Oreochromis niloticus: one gene and its partner. The protein of the gene in region 1 interacts with the protein of each later gene in a pairwise test. Links are inferred from orthologs where the notes say so. Each region holds a gene or a part of one and is shown on either strand. Other genes may lie near its edges.

The links.
Region 2: the proteins of rint1 (region 1) and ribc1 interact in binary tests that used the Homo sapiens proteins (3 or more experiments, as listed by UniProt). The two-hybrid records come from large-scale screens. The link is inferred for Oreochromis niloticus from reciprocal best matches to the Homo sapiens genes RINT1 and RIBC1.

The regions. Positions count from the first base shown.
Region 1 is NC_031981.2:450,487-454,242, reverse strand, and holds the start of rint1 (RAD50-interacting protein 1), read right to left. Parts: upstream 2,821-3,756; 5' UTR 2,594-2,820; coding exon 2,372-2,593; intron 1-2,371. UniProt on the Homo sapiens protein: Involved in regulation of membrane traffic between the Golgi and the endoplasmic reticulum (ER); the function is proposed to depend on its association in the NRZ complex which is believed to play a role in SNARE assembly at the ER.
Region 2 is NC_031984.2:20,063,275-20,067,030, forward strand, and holds the start of ribc1 (RIB43A-like with coiled-coils protein 1), read left to right. Parts: upstream 1-992; 5' UTR 993-1,186; intron 1,187-1,426; 5' UTR 1,427-1,448; coding exon 1,449-1,647; intron 1,648-1,809; coding exon 1,810-2,027; intron 2,028-2,151; coding exon 2,152-2,266; intron 2,267-2,552; coding exon 2,553-2,671; intron 2,672-3,263; coding exon 3,264-3,500; intron 3,501-3,756. Other genes in the region: structural maintenance of chromosomes protein 1A, read right to left, coding at 481-589.

The DNA.
Region 1 (3,756 bases):
CGATATATTTTAAAAACTCGATATATCGCCCAGCACTAGTTTCACCCCAAGTCCAGCATCCTGAGGCTGCACACTAAGCACAAGGAAGGAGGCCGGGGACTGGTGAGTGTCAGCACCACACAGGATGAGACGTCAAACCAGTGCAGGTGGTGGGAGACAGAAGGACTCTGGGCAAAATAACATCTCTGATGGACAGTCTCCCACCCCATGCATGTAAATGTTGCTGAACTGCAGAGCCTGCATCCTCGATGCATGAAGGAGCGTTTCCGCAGGTCCTTCCTCCCTGCAGCTGTCAGACTGTACAATCAAAACTGCTCCCAACAAACACAGATGTTTACATCAGCGCTGTCACTTGCACTATTTTATCATCCGATTCACACTACAACCTGGGTTTGCCTCTTATCTGAAATACATTTTATCTGTAAATAAAATGTATTTCATTTTATTTAATGTTAATAACTGTACAGTACTCTGTTTTTGTAACTATTGTCCTTGATGTAAAAATACATATATATATACATATATATATATATATATATATATATATATATATATATATATATATATATACACATGTATATATATATATATATATATATATATATATATATATATATATATATATACACATGTATATATATATATATATATATATATATATATATATATATATATATATATATATATATATATATAAAAAATTGTGTATGTTTCTGTTCTGTGCGCTGTTTGTTTGTATATTTTTTCTTGCTGCTGTTACAACCAAATTTCCCCTTGTGGGACAATTAAAGGATTATTTTATTCTATTCTAAACATCCACGAGTACATGAGGAAGAGGCCACAACCAACCGCGATCATCCGTTACAAAAGCAGATACAAACAGAGACAGAGCTCTATAAGCTCTCTTGAAGAGAATCCTGGATGTAACGCTAAACTTGGCATCAACAAATGTACCTTTCATTGGTACAACAAAAGACCTGCATGATGCACAAAACTGTTATTTCTTTGGAAAAGTACAGCTCTTGTCCCATTATGATCCACTGCTGTAAGAATAAATAATAACAACAAAGATGATTTTAGGTAGTGCCCGAAAGCACAGACACACTGTATGTTAGGCTGTCTGAAACAGTGATGTGCTCCTGGTGACTTATTTTCACTGCTGATTAAATGGAGTCAGTAACTTAGTAATAACTCACTAACCAGTTTCTGTCTGCTAAGATGAGACGATGAGCTCAGGGTAAATGAATAAAACAAAAACGTGTTTCTAGCGTCCAAAACAACAACAACAACTGTTCCTGTAATCACCATTAAAACCTTTACTGGGAAGAAGTTGGTGTGAATCCTTCAAACCACCGCATTAACAAACTCCAACATGAGGAAAAACAACGTTTTTAGCGATATTTAGAGATATTTCTGAGGAGAAAATGAAGCTGCTCTCCAGGTGTGTTCAAAGCCACCAGACAACAGGGGGTTTAACCCAACAAGCAGGAGTTTGTCATTCAAGTCTTTTTTGACAACACAGACTGGAAAGCGGAGAGAAAGAGCCGGAATAGACTCAACACAATCAAAACACTGACTTCTGGCAGTGGCTCATACCAGCGCCTCCCACTGGCTGCCTGGAGGAGTACAGTTTGATTTAAAGCTATATAAACTCTAAACTGAGCTCAAAACAAGGTACAGTATATACAATCACAGTCAAAAAATTTATTCCTAAAGAGATTTCTACCATAAATCTAATTTAACTATAAATAAGTGCATAAACTTCACAATAACGCACAAACGTGTTTCTCTGACACTCAAAACCTTTTGGCGAGGACACAGAAATGTGTGAAAATACAGTGTTATAGACGTCTTACATTTTTAGTTTACTGAGTAAAAAGGAGATATATAGAAACATGCACCGTCATACTGTTCCCACGCCAGTGTCCACATAACTGCACCACTACTAATCTCATATCACCTGTAAGTTATGTTGCCTGGCGCTGGGCCTGTGCACGTTTTCACTGAGCTGTGATTAGGAGACAGATGCTGGCTGGCAGCCCACAGTTCATTCAGTGGGCTGTGAGGTCACTGTGCAAATGTCCTGTTTATAAAGCTGCAGTCAGCTGAGACTGAAGAAGTCACCTGGATGATGACGAAACGTTTCTCCCACTGAAAACGTTCAGATGGACACAATCAGCCTTTTGGGAGCAATTACAGGGTTTGTTTGTTTTTAACTGTGAGACTGGGTTGCCAAATTTCCGAAACAATTCACGGCCGTAAGGGTAACACCTGTCACGATGTTACTGACACAGCGAGCAGGACAACATCTCACGCGTGTCTTCGCTGTGTCTCGGTATATGTGATGATTTCTGTGCGTTGTTTCGTTCACCTGTTCCTTCAGCGTGTTGTTCTGCTCGGTCAGATGCTCCATCAGCTCACCGACGGTCTTCGAGCACATCAGCTCGGTGTCTCTGTCCTCCAGGAAACCCGCCACGAAGTCCTCCGCAGATAAAGCTTCGCGGTGTGGTGCTGCCGTGTAAGCAGGCTGTGGGGAACATGCTGTTATTTCACTCTCTGCTCGCTCTGGCGTTCCTGTTACGGCCGCCGCCATTTTTCCTGTCGAATGCAACGATCGCCTTCCTCGGAGGCGCTCGTGAATTGTATTTGGGTAACCCGCGGGAGGAGGTCACGCGTGCAGCGGTCACGCGTGGTTACACACATGCCAGACTTTCATATTAAATCTTCCTTTATAGATTGTCTCACATAAAGTGTGACCACGCGTGTCTTGCTATCTTGTAAACTGTAGCCATTGCTGCTGTATGGCCCGTGTTTATTTCACTAACACGAGGAGTACGCTGGAGGAGAAAACAAGCCCACAGTTGTCTGAAAACGCTTACGTCACAGATGGCACCGTCCGCTACACGTCAGCACATTCATTCATGGTACCGGGTCCAGCACAGCTGATTCTAGTATCGATACCAAGTAAATACAGGGCCGATACCAATACTATTGAGCTACAGAGGTACCTTAAGTAGGGGAGCGCGTGTCATGATTTATGACATGACTCATCACAGGTGTGCAAATTCTGAACACAACTTAATGGCCACTAAATCACTGAGATTCTACAATAATGAATAACACAATGAAAACACACCTTTCAGCCTTTTGTATTTGGACGACTGAGCTGTAAATGTGTCTGTCTCCAACACACAGCTCAGGCTGTTTAAACGTGCTGTTGGCTATAAACAAGACACAAGATTCAGACATTTTTCATACTGGATGTTTGAGGTATATTTATTTAATTCACAAAAAAAATATAATTCAGTGAATTTAGACGATAGAAACAAAGTATCTATCACACTACTATCGATCCAATACCAATTCCAGTGTTGTTGTCGATACTATTAATAATTGGATCAATGTGCCTGCCTCTAATTCATGGATAAAGATGTATAGTGCTATTTACCTAAGTACCTGAGCGCACAGTTAAACTGTAGCATAATTTCTGAGTGTGTGTAACCACACTTGCAAGTTTCCATGCATTAGTTAACTATAACTGGATATATGGTCGAATGTTATGTCGTCTGTCTGTCAAACTGATCTTCAGAATCAGAATCAGAATACTTTATTGATCCCTAGTGGAAATTATTTCATCTCGATCTTTGTGACCATTCTGTAGAACAGATGTACTCTCTCTCCCTTTCACTTCCTGTCTCAGCCTAATGTTTTTCATGTTAGCGCTTCTATTTTTCACAAACACACACACGTGTCTCA
Region 2 (3,756 bases), on another chromosome or scaffold:
GCTATTAGTGTGCAGTTTTTACACGTTGTTTTGTTTGAGTTGATATGGCTAAACTTACAGGCCAGATAGTTTTGATGATGCATTGCACTGTATTACGAGAAAAGACCGTTGAAAGTCTTTCTCTTGTGTAATGGGTCCAACACCAATGTTTACAAATATATTACGTGCCTATACGACATAAGTGCTTAAACGGTCTAATGGAGTGACTTCAATAAAAATGCAAAAACGACATTCTACAAACTGACAACCATAAATACACCGAAATAAAGTTTAAATAAATTCTATAGTGCCAAATGTAAACATGAAACACTACGATACATCACATCACCAACAGTTGAACCTCTGTCCAGTTCAGCTGTGCACAGACTGAGAGTTATGATCCAAATAGAGCGGGGCTGTGGAGCTCTGTTTACCGTTAGGCACAGCTAGCAGTTTGCATTTCGCATTAGCTTCGAGCTTATGTTAGCTGTCATTACATACCAGATCCATTGGGTCCGATGATTGCAGTAAACTTGTGAAAAGGTCCGATAATCTGCCTTCCTTTATACGACTTGAAATTTTCGATCTCTATCAGTTTTAAATAACCCATCTCGTTCTATTTGTTTAGCTGGTCTGCAGTGAATATTAGCTTAGCAGTTAGCTAATGCTAACAACCAATGTTTACCCGGTAAGCTGTTGCAAAGACGCAGTGTGCACGAAATGAATGAACCCCTCTGGTCAATCTACTGCTGCTCTATGCACAAGTTACATTATGATCTGCGCAATCGTTTTAAAAATTAAAATAAAAATTATAATCTTTATCAAATATATTCGGTACGGCGGCGACAACAATGCGCCATTTTACAATCCAACAGGAAGACCCACAAGCGCGCGAGACACGAAACCTCACAGTTTCTCGCGAGACCAAATTTAGTTGTCTGGCGTTTGTCGTGTTTTGATTGTTATCTCGGCCTTGGATATCACTTTTTACTACTATTAATGCTACTTTATTACAAATTATACACATTATTAAAAAAATAAAAAGACATTTCCTTAGCTGGTCCTGTCACTCTCGTTATGTATTTCCAGCATATCGATGTGTGTCCACATGTTTCCATGGTTACCAAGCGTCTCCAAACACAACAGGAGCAGATTTTCATTCACTGATATTGACTGAAAGAAACTGAGCAGATTTATAACGTCAGCGGTAAGTGGTGTATGTCCATTTTTAAGGAAAAGCCATTTAATTTAGTCCACTTATTCTTTAAATATGCCTTTAAAGAAGCATTGGTTTTTGATGTTATCAGGTGATGACAGGAGCAAATCGCTCTGAAGATGAACCCCACCAGGATTTTATATTTCAATCGGCATAGTCATTTCTTTAATAATTTATTTTCAGGCAAGATTATCAGCTCTGATAATAAGTGTCGTAATGCTGTCTCTTTAGGAAGTCACTACAAACTTTGAACATGTACAAAGTGGATTTGCCTGTAGACGAGTCCACGGAAAAGGCTGTGGAGAGGCGTAAGGCTGCAGAAACAGCACGCAAGGCCCGCATTTTCAACACCCGGCTTCGTGTGATGGGTCTCGACCTAGATACACTAAACCAACAAGTCCAGGAGAAGAAACACCAGCAAAACATGGAGAAACAAAGGGACAAAGCTTTGGGTAAACTGAAGGACAGGGATGAGGTAGAATTAAAGCAGTATAATTGCAGACATAATTCCTGCAAGACGCTATAAATGCAAGTCCCCTGGTCCCCTTATTGTTTCAGGCCCTCTCCATTAATGAGCTTTGGTTGGTCACAGGTGTATTTTTAATGTATTACAGATAAGTTGAGAATATGCCAAGATGAAGTACTGGTGCAGCAGAACAATGCTGAAAAGGAGAAGCGAAGAGTTTTGAATTCTGAACTCACCAATTACTGGGCTACTCATCAGCGAGCAGAGGACTCTCGTGATGCTGATCTTAAATTTGACCTGAAGGGGGCATTCAAGATCGCCATTCCAGAGGATGAGCTAGGGCCTGCCAGTATGCAAATCTTTAAGGTAGGGCAGCTCTGACAAAGCAGGTGATTTGTATGCTTTAAAGACCGGGGGGGGGGCTCCAGCTAATGGTTAAATATGTAATATTGTTACCGCTTATGGTCATCTGTCCTTGTTTCATGCACAGGGAGAGGGTGTCGGAGAGGAGCTGAGGATGAGAGAACAAATAAGAAAGACAGAACGAGATCTGCGAGCACAGATGGATGAGAATGAAAAAAGGCACATGCGAGACAAGCACATAGGTGAAAAGAGACACACACACACAAGTACACACATTCACTAGCATTCCTAATGAGCTTACATCCTTTACTCTACAACCTCTGTACATCACACACATGCTTCATGCTTTCCTGCACAAACAATCATACACTCCCATGCACAGCCCTTATTACCAGGTGACAGTGATGGATGCTCATCCCTAAGAGCCTTACTGTAAGTGTGAAGTGTGCAGTTGAAGAGCCACATACAACCGCTAATGCAGGTGTGAAAAACACACATCAGATGATCCCCAAATCATGTGTGTCACAGAGATGCTTGTGAGCAAAGAGCTGGTGCAACAAGATGTGAGAGGGGCTCAGCAAGCTGCCCTCGAGGAGGTGTGTAAGAGAGCTACCCGCATCGCGCTCGACAACTACAATCAGGCTCTGGTACAGTATATGTGCACACTCACAGATGGACAAACAGATATGCACACACCACTCACTAATGTGAATCCTCAAGGCAAAAATCTAAGGGGGGGGGGCAAGCTGTGACATGATGTTGTCATGTGGGAATTGCAAGCTGAAAATGTCAAATGATGCATGCACACACTTGGTGCAGGATGGCGGCAATCATATTATTTGGCACCAGGCAACATGGATGGTTAAACAGCTTTGATGTATGCGTGGTTACTGTCTGTTTTTAAAAGCCCCCATTTAGCTCTTCCCTCATTTGCCTGAATGCACTCGGCTGAATCCCCCATTGGGAGGCATCATTGTAAATTCTTCAGGTCACTGTACTTTTTCATAGTGTTTAGTGGTTTCACTAATAACCACTCATGATGCACAAGCAAATACAGCTGACTGAGTGGCTCTCTCAGGACGACGTTCGCCATATGGCTGACTGGTAGCTCTATGCTAGGAGTAACCACATTTTAGAGACTGGGTTTTGCAATGCTTCTGAATCATCAGTCATCAGTGGGATAATCAATTAACTGTCCCTGGATCTGTGTTAAAGCCTCACCATGCTCTGTACACACAGGCTAAAGAGCAAGCAGAGAAACTGAAGGAGCAACACAAGAGAGAGGAACAGGAAAATCTGGCAGAGATGTGGCATACAATGACATCTGACATGATGACAGAGTGTGCAGAGGCAACAGAGAGACAGGTGGGAGGAGGGAGGCCACCACAGGTTCTACCAGACAGGTGGAAAGGAATGAGCCCTGAACAGCTGAAAAGCATTCAGCAGGAGAGAGAACAACAATGCCTTGAGAGACAGGTATTACACTCTGTACTCCACAGTAATATAGTCAAAGCTGCACACAGTATCCCACATATGGTATGTAGAATACCATGTGCACACAATCCCTTGAGTACTTGTGTGTTTTGTTAATGCGACTTCAGAGGTGGCCAGCGGGGGAATTGGGCGGGGCAAGTACTTGTGCTTTGGCACTGTGGGACAGAAAAACTCTTGTTGAACCTTAGACAGAACCAGGCTCAGGGGCAGGCAGCCATCTGCCGCGACCATTTTGGGA